2 linked regions of the Arabidopsis thaliana genome follow. The protein of the gene in region 2 interacts with the protein of the main gene of each other region in a pairwise test. Each region holds a gene or a part of one and is shown on either strand. Other genes may lie near its edges. The genes, in order: AT3G11130 and AT5G11710.

Region 1 (7,969 bases), on a different chromosome or scaffold from region 2:
TAAATAATATTTGCCGCCTCTAGTTTAAACAAGCATGTAAAAACGTGTTATCGGAAAAAATAACATAATAATTGTAAAATAAATATGCAAAACTTATGTCATTGAAAGAAAAAAAACATGATAAATGTACTTGGTGAATGGTGATATTGTTTTTAATTTTTACAAATAAGATGGTAGAAAATTAGGTTATACATAATCCCGCACGTGTGAGTAAAGCCTTATATATTCCATGCGTACACGCAAGTTATACATATGTTTTCACATATACGCTCTGCCTCTTCCAAAGTCACATCCATCTTTCAATGGCTTTCTCTTCAGCTCACCTCAACCACCACCAACCTTTGATCAAGCACGGTGGAGCCACGGCGGCGCCTCCTCCGACCCCGTCATGCTCACATCTCAACACCACCAGCAAATCGGAGACAGCAGTTGACGCTCTCTCCAGTCTTTTCCACCGTCTCCCTCCTTTGCTTTCACTCCCCAACCGTCGCTCCATCCCTTCTCTTCCGATGGTATCTCTCTCCGCCGGAGATAGACTTGAATGGGACGATCTTATCTCCGCCGTGACTGATTTCGGCTATTTCCAACTCATTAACGATGACTCCGATATTCTTTTCCCTCCTGGGATCGCTGAAGCAGCCGAGTCTGACTCACTCTCGCTCTTAGAGCTCAGTGAAGAGAAGAAGGAATCATCGTTTCCGAAGAAATGGCCGCTAGGCTACGAAGCCGATGCTGAAACGCCATCGTTTTGCCTTGACGCCGACTGTTCAACCGACTCGAGCGAGTTAAATCTGAGTTCGCTCCGTGAGTTCACTCGGACTCTAGAGAAAGTTGGACTGAAGACGGTAGAGATGCTGGCGAATGCACTTGGGTTTGGATATGATTCAACCCGGTTTAATACTCTGATGTGGGTTAACCAAGGTGTTCCTGATGATGAACCGGAGGTAACCAACGGATTTTATCCTTTTGTTGTTTGTTTACAGTATCAGATAAGGGAACAGAAGTATTGTTTGCTAACCGAGTCTGGTTGGGTGTCCGTTTTACCCCGAGTTGACTCGGTTCTTGTGACGTTGGGTGACATTGCTCAGGTTAGTTCTCTTTTGCTTTTGACAATTGACAGAACACATATATCTCTTTTATTTATCTATAATTAATTGGTTAGTTGTCTTCCTTAAATAATTATCAAATTATCATCCTTTGTAATGGAACTTTATTCCACTATACCGTTAACTGGCTGTTTTAATGTATTTTAAACATTATCCAAAATAAATGTTTTCCAACGCATCGTTCAAAAAGAGAACAAGAATTTGGATATTTCCGATATTTATTGTTGACAACAACAACAATTGTGGAGCATAACCGGGGAATGTGTTTTCACTTTTCGTTTGAAACAGATTTATGGCATTGGGAAAGAAATAAGAATTTGGAAATTTCCGATATTTAAATACTTATACACATCACATCGCAATTGTACTTAGTGTCCTATAGAATTCAACAATTCTTTTTTTTTTAGGTCAAAACCTAACAGCTTTCTACAATATAGTTTTCAACTTTTGAACAGCTAACAAACAACTTAAAATTGGCAGGTTTGGAGAAATGGAGAGGTCAAAAGAGTGAAATATCGACCAGTGTTGTGTTCAGGACAAAAAGATGGTCCAGTAAAGTGTGTAACAATGACATTGATGCTTACACTTCCCATGGACAGTATGGTTTCATCATTGAAGGATATGATCAGTGACGGCGACAAAGAAGAAGAGTATGCAGAGGAGGAGGAAGAAGATGGAGGAGCAAGAAGTGATGAGAGAAGGGCATTTAGGCCTTTTAGTTTCAAGGAGTACGCATGGAGAGTGTACCAAGAACGTCTCTTCTTCAGGGATCCACTTGACAGATACAGAATCAAATCTTTAAAAGATTGACGAACCGATGTTTGATTTGTTTGTTTCTTTCTTGGGTTGAATTGGTACTATAGTTCTTGTTGTTACTTTTTTTCCCCCATAAAATCTTTTGATTTTCAGCGGATTGTTAGCATTTTAGCATTGAGATATTTTTGTTTTTGTTCGATTCAGTTCAGAGAATGTTCTATTTTGATAGTCACTCCATCATTCAACTAATTTTTTCATATATACTCATATCAAAACTGTCACTATTTCAAAATCAAACTTTTAGGTTACACCAATGACTCTATCACACTAAACTCAACTCCTAGATTTTATATAGAAGAATCTATGACTTTGATGATGTACTTTAAAACTGAGTCTTTTGAGATCATAACCAAATTCTACTTCATAACTTTTGTTTTCCAATGTTGATTATTTGTTATAATTAGAAGGTGACACAAACGCTTATAGCATCCTGTTTTTGAAAATGAGGAAATACAGTGTTGGCTTTTAATCTCTCATTGAGGCAGAATATCAATGAATGACTTCAAATCTACGTATACATGTTTACTTATTTAGTGATCCATATTGGTGTTGCTCTTTAATTTTCTTGTGAGAATGAATTATATACATCAAAATTGATTATATCATTTAATTCGAGTTAAAATTATAAGTAATACAATCTTCACTAAACACTAATTAAATCGACGTAAATTTCTTATACGATTTTTTCATGCAACACTTAAATCGACATAAATTTAAATATTTTGGTCTTCATACCCTAATTTTGATAAGATATAATAGAAAATTTCGTATATCTTTTTTTTTTTTTGGTAAAAAGTTTTTTTTTTTTTGTTTCATCTCCATATTTAGAAAATTTATTTCAAACTTCGTTCTCGTTTGTGTTCATCTTAATTTTTAACCATGATTGAGTCATTGACCATTGCTCAAAACATACGCATAAAATTCCCAAAAAGTAGTGTGTGTCGTGACAAAACCCGACCCGTCGATTTACGCGGTTTGAAACTCGACCCGAATACTATCCGAACCCGTAACTTTGGCAAAAGCACATCGTACAGCTCAGGCACTTGTAGCACGTCGTCTCTCCTTTGGTTTCTCTCCTTATATTCGACGAGTGACTCCGATTGGATCGCTATTTCGTCATTTCTCACTTTCCAAAAAGAAAAAAACGAATCTCTCTCCACCATCATCACCTTTCTCCTTCACTTGCCTCAGATCTGGCTGCGATTTCAAATCTTCCTTAGTTTCTCTCGCATCGCTCGGCCGTTGACGGTCCCGTCCTTTCCGTGGATCTGATTCTGGCCCCGGATTCTCTCGCCGCGATCTGAGGTCAAACATGGCGGCTGCTAACGCGCCCATCATTATGAAGGAGGTCCTAACGGTGAGTTCTCTGTTTTTAAATCTCCGGGAATCGAGCTAAAATTTTGGACGATTAACATGTTTCTATAGTTGTAGTCTCTGATTTCTATCGATTTGGTTCTGCTCACACTGTTATATGATTGATTCAAGTTTCATTCTGTTCTCAATTCTACCCGATCGTTGAGATCAAGTTCTCTGATCAGATTTTCTCTGCGGACGCTCAGATCTGTGTTATCTGAATGTATATAGTCCTTAGTTTTAAGTTATTGTGTTGCGCAATGTGCTTATCTACTCGGATCTTGTAACTAAGTTAATGAACTATGCCAATTGATTACTTTTGTTTTGGAAATTTTCCAGCTTCCGAGCGTTGGGATCGGTCAACAGTTCATCACCTTTACAAATGTTACTATGGAGTCTGATAAGTACATATGTGTACGAGAGACGGCACCGCAGAACAGTGTTGTAATTATCGATATGAATATGCCGATGCAGCCTTTAAGGAGGCCTATAACTGCTGATTCTGCTCTTATGAACCCAAACTCGAGGATCCTTGCCTTAAAAGGTATTACACTGTTTCCTTCGATCGCATTATCACTTATAACACCCATAAGATTCTCCTTTTGAAGTGTATGATCAGTTATAAGACCCATAAGTGGTTCCTATTAAAGTTTTCTCCAGAACTACCATTGATAGCTTCTCCTTCATTTTGTTAACTGTACATATGCTATTTATTACGGATAGGATGTTTTGATTTATTTGAAGTTTAAATGACTCTGTCCATGTTGTGATGCGTCACTTGATAGAAAACCTATTTTTATTAAAGTAGTATGGAAGTGTAACTACACTCTTCGAGTTTATGTTGTAGTCCTATACTCTTTTTCTGGATTTGGGGTGATAGCATGTTTAATGCTGTAGAAAACATCAGTATAGCGCTCTCTGTTTTCCAACACGTGTTATATTTCTCGTGGCAGTGTTGTGTCTCAAGCTTAGTGTAGTTAAACTAGAAATTTTGGTTTGTACTGGATGTTTCCTTGTATAAGCTATTACTTATTTCTTCCTTAATTTGTTGTTAACTTTTTCTTAAATTCGTATCGTATATAGCTCAAGTTCCAGGAACTACTCAGGATCATCTACAGATATTTAACATTGAAGCAAAGGCAAAGTTGAAGTCACATCAGATGCCTGAGCAGGTGAATTTTGAAGCAAACAAATTGTAACCCGATTATCTTTCATGTTGTACTCTTCAGACAGACTCTGATTTTACTGGTCTGAATTTTTTGGATATTATAGGTTGCTTTTTGGAAGTGGATCACACCTAAGATGCTGGGACTGGTCACACAAACTTCTGTGTATCATTGGTCAATTGAAGGTTTTATATCTTTAACTTACTGTCAGCTTCTTCATATCATGTATATGTTGTTTCTCATTTTTGCTTCGATATTTCCAGGTGATTCTGAGCCAGTTAAGATGTTTGATAGAACGGCTAATTTGGCAAACAATCAAATTATAAACTATAAGTGCTCTCCTAATGAGAAGTGGTTGGTCTTGATTGGAATTGCCCCTGGCTCTCCTGAGGTAGGGTTCCTGCACCACGTATTAGGTTGAATTAAGACATCATAACGGCAGTCATGTTGTATATTTTTGACGGAATCTTGTCATTATTATCCTCTGTAGAGACCACAATTGGTGAAAGGAAATATGCAGCTTTTCTCTGTGGATCAACAGCGGAGCCAGGCCCTTGAAGCACATGCTGCATCTTTTGCTCAGTTTAAGGTAAACTATGTGATACCTTTGCTACTTCATTCCATGGTCGGATCTTGAACTGTAGTATGACAAGCGACATTATTATTGATAGGTCCCTGGGAATGAGAATCCTTCGATTCTTATATCATTTGCAAGCAAGAGCTTTAATGCTGGGCAGATAACATCAAAGCTGCATGTTATTGAACTTGGTGCCCAACCAGGTTAGCTTAAACTACTGCTCTATATTTTCATGGTTATTGTTAGTTGGTATTAGTCTGATGTTTAAAGGTGGGCGGCTTTTTTTCAGGGAAACCATCATTTACAAAAAAGCAGGCAGATCTCTTTTTCCCCCCAGATTTTGCTGATGATTTTCCTGTGGCCATGCAGGTTTGTAGTTGCATTAGCTGTTCAATTAACTTCAGTAAGTTTCTTGTGAAAAATTCATGACACCGACTTCTCTTTCTCCCAACAGGTCTCTCACAAGTTTAACTTGATTTATGTCATCACCAAGCTTGGCCTGCTGTTTGTATATGATCTAGAGACAGCTTCTGCTATCTACAGAAATCGGATAAGTCCGGACCCAATTTTCTTAACGTCTGAAGCTTCCTCAGTTGGGGGTTTCTATGCCATTAATAGGCGAGGACAAGTTCTTTTGGCAACAGTAAATGAGGCCACCATAATACCTTTTATTAGTGGTCAAGTATGTTCAACTTTTACTTTGTTCTTCTCTATATAATCTATCTATTCATCATGACATGCTAAGAAATCTATGCCTTTATATTACAGTTGAACAATTTGGAACTTGCTGTCAATCTTGCTAAAAGAGGAAACCTCCCTGGTGCAGAAAATCTGGTATGTGATAATTATCTTGGATCAGATGTGTGGATCTATTTTCTTGGTGAAGTCATTATTGTGCCAATTTGACGAAAAAGGTCATTCTGATAGAAACAATAATGTAGAAAATTAGAAATCGAGATTTGACGCTTCCTCCGTTTCAATATACAAGTGCATTTTTGACATTTTCAAGCAAATGAAAGAATAATTAAATGTTACATGATATCCTAGAAGACAATTGTCTCTTGGATTTAAATTCTATTTCACATTGTTAATTAATATTTAAATAGGGGTAAATAGATAAATGTATTACAAAATTTACATTGAATCGTAAGATGACACTTTGAAACGGAGGGTGTACATGTTAATGTTAAAATTCTACAAAAAACTAAGTGAATTTGATGATAAACCTCTTCCAAACTCCCAAGACATCTTATACCGATAGAGACTAAAGATCCATAACCTATTTAAACCATGGTTACTTGAAAGTAAACACAGTTAAACCCTACTAACCTAAAAACACTTAGTAAATATCATAAACTCCTTAGACCTCTAAACCCATTGCTCGAATTACATTTCTTAATGCAAAGTTCCTCATATTCAATTTTGATGTTACAGGTTGTCCAGCGGTTCCAAGAGTTATTTGCTCAAACAAAGTACAAGGAGGCTGCTGAGCTTGCTGCTGAATCTCCTCAGGGCATTCTACGGACACCTGATACGGTGGCCAAATTCCAGGTATATGTTCCATATTCAAGCAAAGAATCCTCTGTGAACATGTTGTCTATAATGTATGTTTGTAACACCAGTCTGAAACTACAACATCACACTTTACAATTTTGCAGAGTGTTCCTGTACAAGCAGGGCAAACTCCTCCATTGTTACAGTATTTTGGGACCCTTTTGACTAGAGGGAAGCTCAATTCATATGAGTCTTTGGAACTATCTCGGCTTGTTGTGAATCAAAACAAAAAGAACCTCTTGGAAAACTGGTTGGCAGAGGATAAGTTAGAATGCAGTGAAGAACTCGGAGACCTTGTCAAAGTAATCTTAAAATGACCATTTTCATTTAAAGTGTCTCCTATGGGCTTCTTTAGTATGCTGTAACGGTAATATTTTCTGATTCAGACTGTGGATAATGACCTTGCTCTAAAAATATACATCAAAGCTAGAGCTACTCCAAAAGTCGTTGCAGCTTTTGCAGAGCGAAGGGAGTTTGACAAAATATTGATTTATTCAAAGCAGGTAAACAATTAAGTTTTAAAGTTTGCCCCCTCCGTTGTTATGTTTACCCTAAAGGTCATTGTGCTCAAGAGGTACCATTGTTTTATGTTGTGACTCTAGGTTGGGTACACACCTGATTACATGTTTCTTCTGCAAACGATACTCCGTACGGATCCTCAGGTTAGTTTGCTGCACTTTTGATACTTTGCAACATATTAAACTGTGGAAGGACTGGTTTACTAGATTCTTGTTCCGTAATCACAAGAAGAGTCATAAATTTTGGCCTGCTGTTGTTTATCAAGCAACTAAGCTTTTGCCCTGTAAAAGATCAATAGTCTTTTTTTTCTGCTAATTATCTTCTTTTTTTTCCTGCTAATTGCAGGGAGCAGTAAATTTTGCTTTAATGATGTCCCAAATGGAAGGAGGTTGTCCAGTTGACTACAACACTATCACTGATCTTTTCCTTCAGGTGAACACGTAGAATATACTGTGTACATAAAATTGTATCTCATTACTTGTTTCACAAGAGAGCTATCATGTGCTAATGTACTTACTTTTGCATATTCAGAGAAATCTGATCCGTGAAGCGACTGCTTTCCTTCTGGATGTTCTGAAGCCAAATTTACCCGAGCATGCTTTTCTGCAAACTAAGGTTGAAAAGAGTTGCCACCTTTTACTTCTCTGTGCTTTCCCTACTCACCTTCCTTTCTTAGACCTTTTAGTGCACTCTCAACACAGGTTTTGGAGATCAATTTGGTAACCTTTCCTAATGTGGCTGATGCAATCTTAGCAAATGGGATGTTCAGCCATTATGACCGGCCTCGTGTTGCTCAGCTTTGTGAAAAGGCTGGACTTTACATCCAATCTTTAAAGGTTTTTGCTCAATGTCTTCTTTAATATTCTTGGCCTAATAGA
Region 2 (9,456 bases):
CCTATATAATCGCACATTTTAAATTAGTTTGAAAAACTTGCTAAATTTAGTTTTTTTGGAGATTGGTTTGAGAGAGGAGATTATAATGACCTGACATGAAGATTAAGCGATTTAATATCTGGTGCGTAAACGGACGATGGTTTTATCAGATCAAGCTTCGCCGTCAAAACTTGCCGGTTAGAATCAACGCCCACTGATCTAACGACGTAGCCGTATCCAACGACTGTGGATTCTTCTTCTTCTAGTACAACTTGTGAACTTCTCAAGGAGAAGAAGACGACGACAACGATGAAGATATTGGGAAACCAGTGAAGAGATGACATTTTTTATTTTGGTGTTGGACTATTTTTTTTTGTCACAACTACTCATTTTCTTTGTAGATAAGACTATTCTATATTTTAATCATTCGTGACCGGAGAACTAAATTGTGTAAGATAAGATTAGTGTTAACATAATCACTAAGAATGAACTTGGTCAATATGAATGTGAATAAAACAACTGAGAAGAAAGTTGGAGTCTCTTTCGGATTAAGAATCACACGCGATAAAAAAAATATTTGTTGAGTGGGAAGAGATACATATACTTTTGTTCTATGAACAAATCGAAACTTTAAACCAATAATAAAAGTACTCTCTTATCAAAAAAAACATAAAGACAATTCTTCTCTCTCTCATTTAAACCCAAAGTAAACGCCACAACAACAATGGCACATCAGTCACCGACCAGATTGTCCCATGAATGAAGTGCAAGAACAACAAACCCATTAAAAAAACTTACATTTCCAGTATGGAATGTAGAATCAAACTTGATATGCCTTTTCATCTCAACACCAAATCACAGACAATTTCACTGCTTAAAGCCACCAGATTGGTACCTTTGGTTACTGAGGCTGGAGAAGAAATCGTCTGAGATATCAGGTGCTTGTTGTTGTTGTTGTTGTTGCTGCTGCTGCTGTGTACTGTATAGGCCAGTTTTACCAAGCCCGGATCCTGCACCCATGGACCAGCCTGAGTAGTACGATGCAGCAGATGCTTTGTTCCCATCTTCATTGCTCAGATCCCCCACAACACCCACATCAGCTAGAGAAGCTTTTTTGGCTGGTTACAGGGAAAATAATAATCAGGACTAAAATCGAACTTAGAAACTAAAACCCAACAATTTCTTTGTCGTGACACCATGCAAACAAGCTACATGGTACTGGAACTTTATGTGAGCTAAGAATTTTGATTTGTAGAATGTACTGTTTGAAAAATAGTTGGAATGTAATCGAACAACTATACCTTTTGGGTTTGACTGCATCTAATGAGAAAATAAAACATTTTTTTCTTATAGTGCAGATCAAATGAGAGAGTTCTCGATAGAAGAGGAAGTAACGACTTACGAGCAGTTATATTGAGATCAATCAGTCCACGGCTCAGCGAATCTGCCCAAATTCCTGATTTCACCTGGAAAGGATCTTTCTTTTGCAAATGTTGTGGCTTCGAGTCTGCGAAAGACAGCGGGCTTGTGGTGTTTGTTGCACTCCCATGTACACTTGGAGCTTGTGGACCTGTAGAAACTGAAGCCGAGTGGGAAGTGAAGGCACCAAAAGGATCTGATCCATCAAAATTATCCATAGGAACTGCAGCAAATGGGTCAACAATGTTGGGAGTAGCCATAGACTCAGGTATTGATATCTTGGCTTCTGGGCTTACAACTGATTCAGAAGATGCAAAGAGATCAACCGTCGGAGGAGCTGAAGAAACTGTGACAGAAGGTTCAGACGCAGAGAAAAGATCAACTTGTTTCTGTAGAAACAGAAATGCGGAAACACATCAGTCAACGATTCAACAGCACAAGTAATTGTGAGGTGTAAAGAACGACTTCAACAGACAAACGTTTTTGTCAATTAGCGAGAAATTGCATCACATAACTGGACAGTTAATAAGGGAATTTTCCATTGTTAAAAGCTGCATACTAGCTTAGATGAAAGAAGTCACCACCTGTGTCTGTGACCCAAATTCAGCTCCCTGAGCCGAGGCTGATACAAAAGCTGCATCAGCAAACAAGTCCGCCTCTTGAAAGTTCTCGTTGTTGTTGGTGGAAGATGTTTCTGTTGGCCCAGAATCCAAGAAGTCACCAATCAGATCTCCTCCAAAAAGGTCCACTTGGTTGGCACTGCCTGTGGATGGCTCTGCCAAAAATAAAAACCATACAGGTAAGACATGCACATATGTCTATCATAAATACATGTTTATCAAACCAACTTTCTCCCGAATGAATGATAAACAATCTGCAAACTCAGCAGTCGTAGAGAGAAACATACTATTACTGGAAGTTCCCCGTGGATCAAAATCATCAAAATCATCATCGTTGTTTGAAGGAGCTGCAGATACATATGACCTATGTTTGGCAGAATCGGGTGACTTTTTACCACTGGATAGATTGTCATGGTCCGTGCTGCACATTCAGAATTGGAATCGAGTGAGCAAGATTGCACGATTAATTTACTCGACATCAGAAAAATGGTACACAAAATGAGACTAATGAGTCATAAACCAAACCAGAAATAAGAAAAGAAAAGCAAACAAGCAGCCTCTTTTGGAAAAGAAAACTCCCATAGTCTACCCAAAATATGTAACGAACATCAGAAAATGAATGGGGTTGACATAAACCTGCCATAGCGTGAAAAACTCTTCTTAGAAGTGTAGCTTTGCTCCTCAGTTTTAACACCACGTCTTGACTTTTGAAAAGACTCGTAGTCATTCTTGTCTTCTCTGGAATCTCTATCCTTGTAGCTGTCAAAATTGCTTGAACCACTTTGAAAACTACCACCAAATGAAGCTGAGGAACCAGATTTATATGTTATTCCCGTTGATGAGAGGCCAACATACCTAATTGGAGGCAGAAAAAAACGATTTAAGGCAAAGTAGAAAGAAGAACGGTCAGACCAATTATTTCCACTTGTGTAAAAACTAACTTGTTACGATTTGCTACTGCTTTGTCTCTGATTTCTGAGATTTTCTCTTTATTATTTAAAAGAGCGACTATGTTTTCCGCCTTCTTTCTCACGTTGATTCCCACATCTTTCCCATTTGGTTCAACATACTCAAAACTTGTGAGTGACTACATGGATGACAAAGATCTAGTCAGTAAAAAAAACACAATCTTAGAGAGAACTGCATATCAATATGTAAAGAGAAATAAACTGACAGATATTTGGTAAGTATGCTCAATAATCTCATCAACCGCTCGTTCTGATCCATTCGAAATCAGATAATCAATAACAGCCAATGCCTGGCAGGAAATGAAATAGAAAAACCTCAGGACACAACAAAACTATAAACTTCCAAATACAGTAGGAAAACGTCAAGAAGATACTCACCTTGTAGACATATCGCCAATCTTTTCCTGTCTCACTTAGTCTAGTCCACAAAACACTCATAACCATCTGGCACTCCGAGCTAAACATATGGCAAGTGCACATGTTAAGCAATAGCAAATCAAAAAAATATTTCCAAGTAGAATCACGAAAATGAAGCCAGAGATTACAATTTCTTCGTGGCCTGAGCTATCTCTGCCAATGCAGTACCATGGGGACCCCAAGGCTCATTATCTGTAGCATCCAATACCTGTACTAAACATAGCCATATATAATTATGAAAGGGTATCACATAATACTGAATTTGAAGAGATGATCAAACTCAAAATCCATGAAACATTGCCGCCAATTTAAGTTTACATGACGGCTCAAGCTTATCTTCTATAGAAATATGAACTCGATATTTGTGAGTCCCAAAGATGGATCTAATCTCTAGGAAATAGCAACTGTGAAGAAACTCAGCATCCGAACACAGAAACATAACAAATCCAGCTCAAATATTCAGGATTAGTGTCGATTTTCGATCTAGCAATTTTTATTTTCGTGCAATAGCTAAATCTATAGAAAGTTTTCGATCATTTTGCCTAGTAATCATGGATACAATTTGCACATATGGATACGAATCAAATAAATTCACCTTTTGCTCCATCTCAGGGACCTTCAAAACTTTCAGATTCACCTCCCTTTTTCTGTAATTGAAAACGAATCGAGATCAATCGAAAAAATATATAAAACCAAAGATCTACGGATTTGGATCGATAGAGAAAACGGAAAACCCACATCTCTCGAACAGTTTGATCGAAGACCTTCATGAAATCCATTTGGAATCCGCGAAAATGTTATGAACAAAGGAACGAAAACTGGCAAAATTTTGGTGCGAGGAGAAGTGTAGATCTAATCAGAGATGGCTCGTCTTTGTATTATGAGTTTTTTTTTTTTCAATGAAAGGCAACAACAAATAAAAAGTTAGCAGCTAGAACCGATTTTCTCGCGTAATTAGTTTTTAAAGGCGTCAAATGACTGTAAATTCGACCTGACCGTAGCCTGATCCGCAGTCTCCGATAGTCACGGCTATTGGTGGGTTGTTCAATAACCTACATGTATACAACAAAAAAAAATTGAATCCATTTCGTTTCAGTAAATAACACAACGAGTTTTAAGACCTAAGGTAAATTCTTCGAAATATTATCCAAATATAATTTATCCGAACCACTTCACGAAATAATTTAGTTGAATACTTTAAAGCACTTCAACGAAATGGCTCCGAATGGATTATATATATAATTTTTCCAGTAATGAATGTTGTTAGTGAAGATCATATTACTCTCTTCTATACCTTACTTTGTAAACGTTTTAAGTTTAATGCAATAAAATCCTTTTCTGGGGGAAAAAATATAATCCAGTTGAATATTGTTGGTCAGATAAGATTAAGTTTATAACATTATATACCCATTTTTCTATATTAAATATATCTACTACAATTGTCTTATTGAAGAAGTCAGCATGATGAGTCATATACGAGTCAAATTGCATTTGTTTTTAACTCTGGTACCAACCAATAAACCACGTAATATCAGATTATACATCACGTATCCCACTAGTTTAAATTAGTTTTTGCTGACCATGCACAATCTCTTACTTTGAACATAGAGTGTCCCCAATACATGTAGTCTAATCACTAAAATCTAATTTTGGATTTCATATGCTTTGAAGCTATAAAGTTGTTTAGAAATTAGCATACACAACAGTACCTTATCATTTTGGGTGAACCATACATTGACATTAGAAAAAAAATACCATTTTGCATTTAGAACGTGAAAATCGAAGTGATTGAAAGATTGGTGTGATGGATTAAAATGTTGGTGTTGATAATGCTGCTAGTTTTCTATTGGGCCAGCCAGATTTGTTTAATTTTTGTTTTTACTTCGTCCAGGTCACACGCATTCTGTTTCTCAATATCAAACAAAAAACACTCACGCTCAAATCTTGGCGCGTCCATATCAAACTCCTTCACAAACAGGGCCCATCAAAGCCCAATTCTTAACACCTTTCAATGTCCGAACGTAACTCCTGACGTTTTAAAAATTTTAAAAACCAAGTCATTAACCCCTTAATATCCAACAGCAAAGCGAGTAATTAAACGTAGTTAGACACGTGTCCTAATTTAATTCGATGTCAAAATAAATTAGGATACCGCTGCCACATCCAGTTCCATGTGAACCACGATGCACAGTAGTATTTCCTTTTAGAGCAATCTAAAGAATGACGTGGCGTAGTATGATTTGTTAAGATTTACCTGATTACGGTGAACTTGCACGTACCAGATCGTAACTACTCTCCGTTCCAACCTGTGTTTTCTTTTCTTCTTGGAAGCTCCCTTCCCTCTCTTTCTCTCTCCTCCGAGAAAGGAAAAGCACCACTTCTCTCTCTAAGACCCCATTTTTCGGTGAAGGTTTATGCGCTTTTCTTCTTCAACGAGACGACTAAAATACGTATACATGCGTATGTTGATGTATGCATAAGTGTTGTTGTGTGTTGGAGATTTAGAAGAGAAGGTTTGTTTGTGAATTTGTGTCTCTGAGGTTGGTTTTTCCAGTTTATTCTTCTCAATGATCCGAATTGGGGTTGAATCGAAAACCTTAGTAGACTTCGTCTGTGATGACTCTTGATACTAGTGGATGGCTCGATTTCAATTTTGCTGCGTCTTCGTCTTGGTCGCTCTTGCGGTTTTGGCCGTAAACCCTAGTTCAAGCTATCGATTTACCATTGTGGAACCGAAATCGGGTTCTGATTCCGATTTGGACTCAGATTCAGAGTCGTTACTTTTCCATCAGGACTACTCTCCGCCTGCTCCGCCACCGCCACCACCGCATGGACCGTCGGTATCTTGTAGCGAGGATCTCGGCGGCGTTGGGTTTTTGGATACTACTTGTAAGATTGTCGCCGATTTGAACCTTACGCACGATGTGTATATAGCTGGGAAGGGGAATTTTATCATCCTGCCTGGTGTTAGGTTTCACTGCCCGATCCCTGGTTGTTCTATAGCTATCAATGTTTCTGGAAACTTCTCTTTGGGAGCGGAATCTACAATTGTCGCTGGGACATTGGAGCTTACAGCTGGTAATGCTAGCTTTGCTAATGGGTCGGCGGTGAACACGACGGGGTTAGCTGGGAGCCCTCCGCCACAGACCAGTGGGACACCGCAGGGGATTGATGGTGCTGGTGGTGGACATGGTGGTAGAGGCGCTTGTTGTTTGACTGACACTAAGAAGCTACCTGAAGATGTGTGGGGAGGTGATGCATACTCTTGGTCGACTCTGCAGAAGCCGTGGAGCTATGGTAGTAAAGGAGGGTCAACTAGTAGAGAGATTGATTATGGAGGAGGAGGAGGTGGGAAAGTGAAGATGGATATTCTGCAGCTTCTGGATGTTAACGGAAGCCTTTTGGCAAACGGAGGCTATGGAGGAGCCAAAGGCGGTGGTGGATCTGGTGGCAGCATCTACATCAAGGCATACAAGATGTAATCAACTTTCGTTTCTATGCTCTCTTTCACTAGCTGTTAATTAGATTAAATGCATATATTTTAAATTACTTATAGTCAGCAGGGAATGCAAAATTTACAGTACTTGCTTGGTCCTGATATTTTCTTAAGATCATAATCTTACCTTAGGACAAGTTGAGTTTCTAGAAATGATACAAAATTGCACTTTCGTTTCATAATAATATTCTAGAAATGTGAGTTTCTGTTCTCAATTGGAAGTATGTGATTAAGCATGAATCTTATTTATGACAATATATATTTCGAAAGAATTTAGATCTTGCTCATATCTCTCCAAAATGTGTTGTCTGCTGTTGTATGATACACATGAAACAACTCATTTTCTTTGCTTATTTTAAAAGGTTGGTAGTGAGCCTTTTGTCTTCTTAGATTCTTGGTAAATTGATTTTAGCTAGCATCCTCTGCTTTGCTGTTATTTGAAGTGCAGGACTGGAATTGGAAAGATCAGTGCATGTGGTGGGAGTGGTTATGGTGGTGGGGGTGGTGGAAGAGTATCTGTCGATATTTTTAGTAGGCATGATGACCCGAAGATTTTTGTGCATGGTTCGATTCTCTTTACTTGGTTATTTTGTTTACATTTGCTCATTTGATTCACGGTTTTTGTTTTGAGCCAGTATAACCAATACGTGCTTGCCTAACATTAACAATCATGTAAACTGATCTTATCTTCCTAAACACAGGCGGATACAGTATCGGATGTCCAGATAACTCGGGTGCTGCTGGAACTCTATATGATGCTGTTCCCCGAAGCCTTTTCGTTAGCAACTACAATCAGACAACAGACACGTATACGCTTCTCTTAGAATTTCCATTCCAGCCACTTTGGACCAATGTTTATATTCAGGATAAAGCACGCGCAACTTGTCCTCTGTTATGGAGTCGTGTCCAGGTATTTAGAAAATAAATATCCAGTACATGGGCTTTGTAGGCTTACTGATCTTTCTCCTTGCAGTGTTTATGTTAGCACTATTTGTGATCGTATTTACAAAGATTACTATCTTTTATTTTGTATATCTAGTGTCTGTTGTGTCGCCTCTATATATGTTTTCTTAAAAGGTATTTAGTGGAACTCTTGTTTTTCAGCATATTATCTTGCAAAATTGATGAATTGGAGTACTCAAACAGAACTCAATATGTAGGTTCAAGGACAAATTAGTTTGTTGTGCGGTGGTGTTTTGAGCTTCGGATTAGCTCATTATGGTACATCAGTATTTGAGTTGTTGGCAGAAGAACTCTTAATGAGTGATTCTACCATCAAGGTGAGTATTATCCTGATTCTCTACCTTTTTAGAAAATGGGGATGCAACAGCATTGTGTCTGTCTACGTCAGATATGAATATTTCTTTCTGTTGCTAAGATCTGCTTCACTCTTGGCTTACCTGGCCGTTCTTCACACTCCATGTACTGTTTTGGTATTCATGTTAATCACTTGTTCATCATGTTTATGTTTATTGGTATGCATCAGGTTTACGGGGCATTACGCATGACTGTCAAGATGTTCTTGATGTGGAACTCAGAATTGCATTTAGATGGAGGAGGAGGAGATACAACTGTTTCAACTTCCATGCTTGAGGCTAGCAATTTATTCGTTCTTAGGGTACTCACAAACTCATGTCATAGTTTTTCTCCTTAAAAGTAATTTGTGACATAGCGTCGCATCTAATTTTTGTGTGTGACCTCTCTATCCAAATATAGGGATCATCTGTCATTCGGTCAAATGCAAATCTTGGAGTCCATGGACAAGGTTTCTTGAATCTAACTGGACCAGGGGATTCAATTGAAGCACAACGGCTTGTTTTGTCACTGTTTTACCGGATTTATGTAAGGGGTTTCCTTTTGTTAGTTTGGTGACAATCCTGCATTAGTTGACATCTTATATTTTGTGAATCAAAAATAGTTTGTGTTTATAGCTCTGAAAATGTAATGAATATAGGCATAATGTGACTATTGGTCTCCTTTAAAGGCCATATTGGCTGTTGTATAACAAATATAGAAAGGTACTTGATTTGGCCATGTAGGAGTTAATGATTTTTTTTCCTGGCAATTGAAGGTTGGGCCTGGGTCTATCTTGCGTGCTCCTCTACTGAATGCGTCCAGAGATGCTGTGTGAGTTTGAAGAAAAATGTCATATTTATGGTTAGTTTGTGTGCAATATTCTTCGGATATAAAAGCTAACAATATTTGAACTCATATCCGTTGCAGTACACCAAAGCTCTATTGTGAACGACAAGATTGCCCTTATGAACTACTGAATCCTCCAGAGGATTGCAATGTGAATGCATCTCTGTCCTTTACTCTACAGGTATTTCAACCATTCTTTAACTTGTATTGTATGCTCTAACTTGAAAACTCTGATAATTTCTTTCTTTCTAGATATGCCGAGTTGAGGATATTCTCGTCGAAGGTTTCATTAAAGGATCAGTAGTTCATTTCCACCGGGCAAAAACTGTAACCCTTGAACCCTCTGGAGAGATTAGTGCCAGTGGAATGGGTAACAATAACTACTTTTTATTTGGATTTTGTTTTGATCGCGCAT

Evidence for each region.
Region 1: the proteins of AT5G11710 (region 2) and AT3G11130 interact in binary tests that used the Arabidopsis thaliana proteins (3 or more experiments, as listed by UniProt).

What each region holds. Positions count from the first base shown.
Region 1 is NC_003074.8:3,486,933-3,494,901, reverse strand, and holds the start of AT3G11130 (Clathrin, heavy chain), read left to right. Parts: upstream 1-2,836; 5' UTR 2,837-3,234; coding exon 3,235-3,279; intron 3,280-3,614; coding exon 3,615-3,819; intron 3,820-4,358; coding exon 4,359-4,447; intron 4,448-4,547; coding exon 4,548-4,626; intron 4,627-4,704; coding exon 4,705-4,832; intron 4,833-4,931; coding exon 4,932-5,030; intron 5,031-5,112; coding exon 5,113-5,221; intron 5,222-5,307; coding exon 5,308-5,387; intron 5,388-5,472; coding exon 5,473-5,700; intron 5,701-5,786; coding exon 5,787-5,852; intron 5,853-6,452; coding exon 6,453-6,569; intron 6,570-6,676; coding exon 6,677-6,874; intron 6,875-6,958; coding exon 6,959-7,075; intron 7,076-7,174; coding exon 7,175-7,234; intron 7,235-7,436; coding exon 7,437-7,523; intron 7,524-7,622; coding exon 7,623-7,706; intron 7,707-7,792; coding exon 7,793-7,927; intron 7,928-7,969. Other genes in the region: AT3G11150 (2-oxoglutarate (2OG) and Fe(II)-dependent oxygenase superfamily protein), read left to right, coding at 303-1,088, 1,587-1,916. UniProt on the Arabidopsis thaliana protein: Clathrin is the major protein of the polyhedral coat of coated pits and vesicles. Mediates endocytosis and is required for a correct polar distribution of PIN auxin transporters.
Region 2 is NC_003076.8:3,767,707-3,777,162, reverse strand, and holds AT5G11710 (ENTH/VHS family protein), read right to left. Parts: upstream 4,763-9,456; 5' UTR 4,698-4,762; intron 4,594-4,697; exon of another isoform or gene 4,572-4,593; intron 4,546-4,571; exon of another isoform or gene 4,456-4,545; 5' UTR 4,183-4,455; coding exon 4,142-4,182; intron 4,051-4,141; coding exon 3,999-4,050; intron 3,612-3,998; coding exon 3,532-3,611; intron 3,444-3,531; coding exon 3,365-3,443; intron 3,277-3,364; coding exon 3,193-3,276; intron 3,106-3,192; coding exon 2,960-3,105; intron 2,874-2,959; coding exon 2,655-2,873; intron 2,440-2,654; coding exon 2,306-2,439; intron 2,174-2,305; coding exon 1,983-2,173; intron 1,788-1,982; coding exon 1,382-1,787; intron 1,098-1,381; coding exon 847-1,097; 3' UTR 501-846; downstream 1-500. Other genes in the region: AT5G11720 (Glycosyl hydrolases family 31 protein), read right to left, coding at 91-323; AT5G11700 (ephrin type-B receptor), read left to right, coding at 6,040-6,881, 7,348-7,463, 7,601-7,809, 8,060-8,179, 8,386-8,517, 8,616-8,741, 8,971-9,026, 9,123-9,222 and 1 more. UniProt on the Arabidopsis thaliana protein: May have a role in transport via clathrin-coated vesicles from the trans-Golgi network to endosomes. Stimulates clathrin assembly. Does not seem to bind to phospholipids.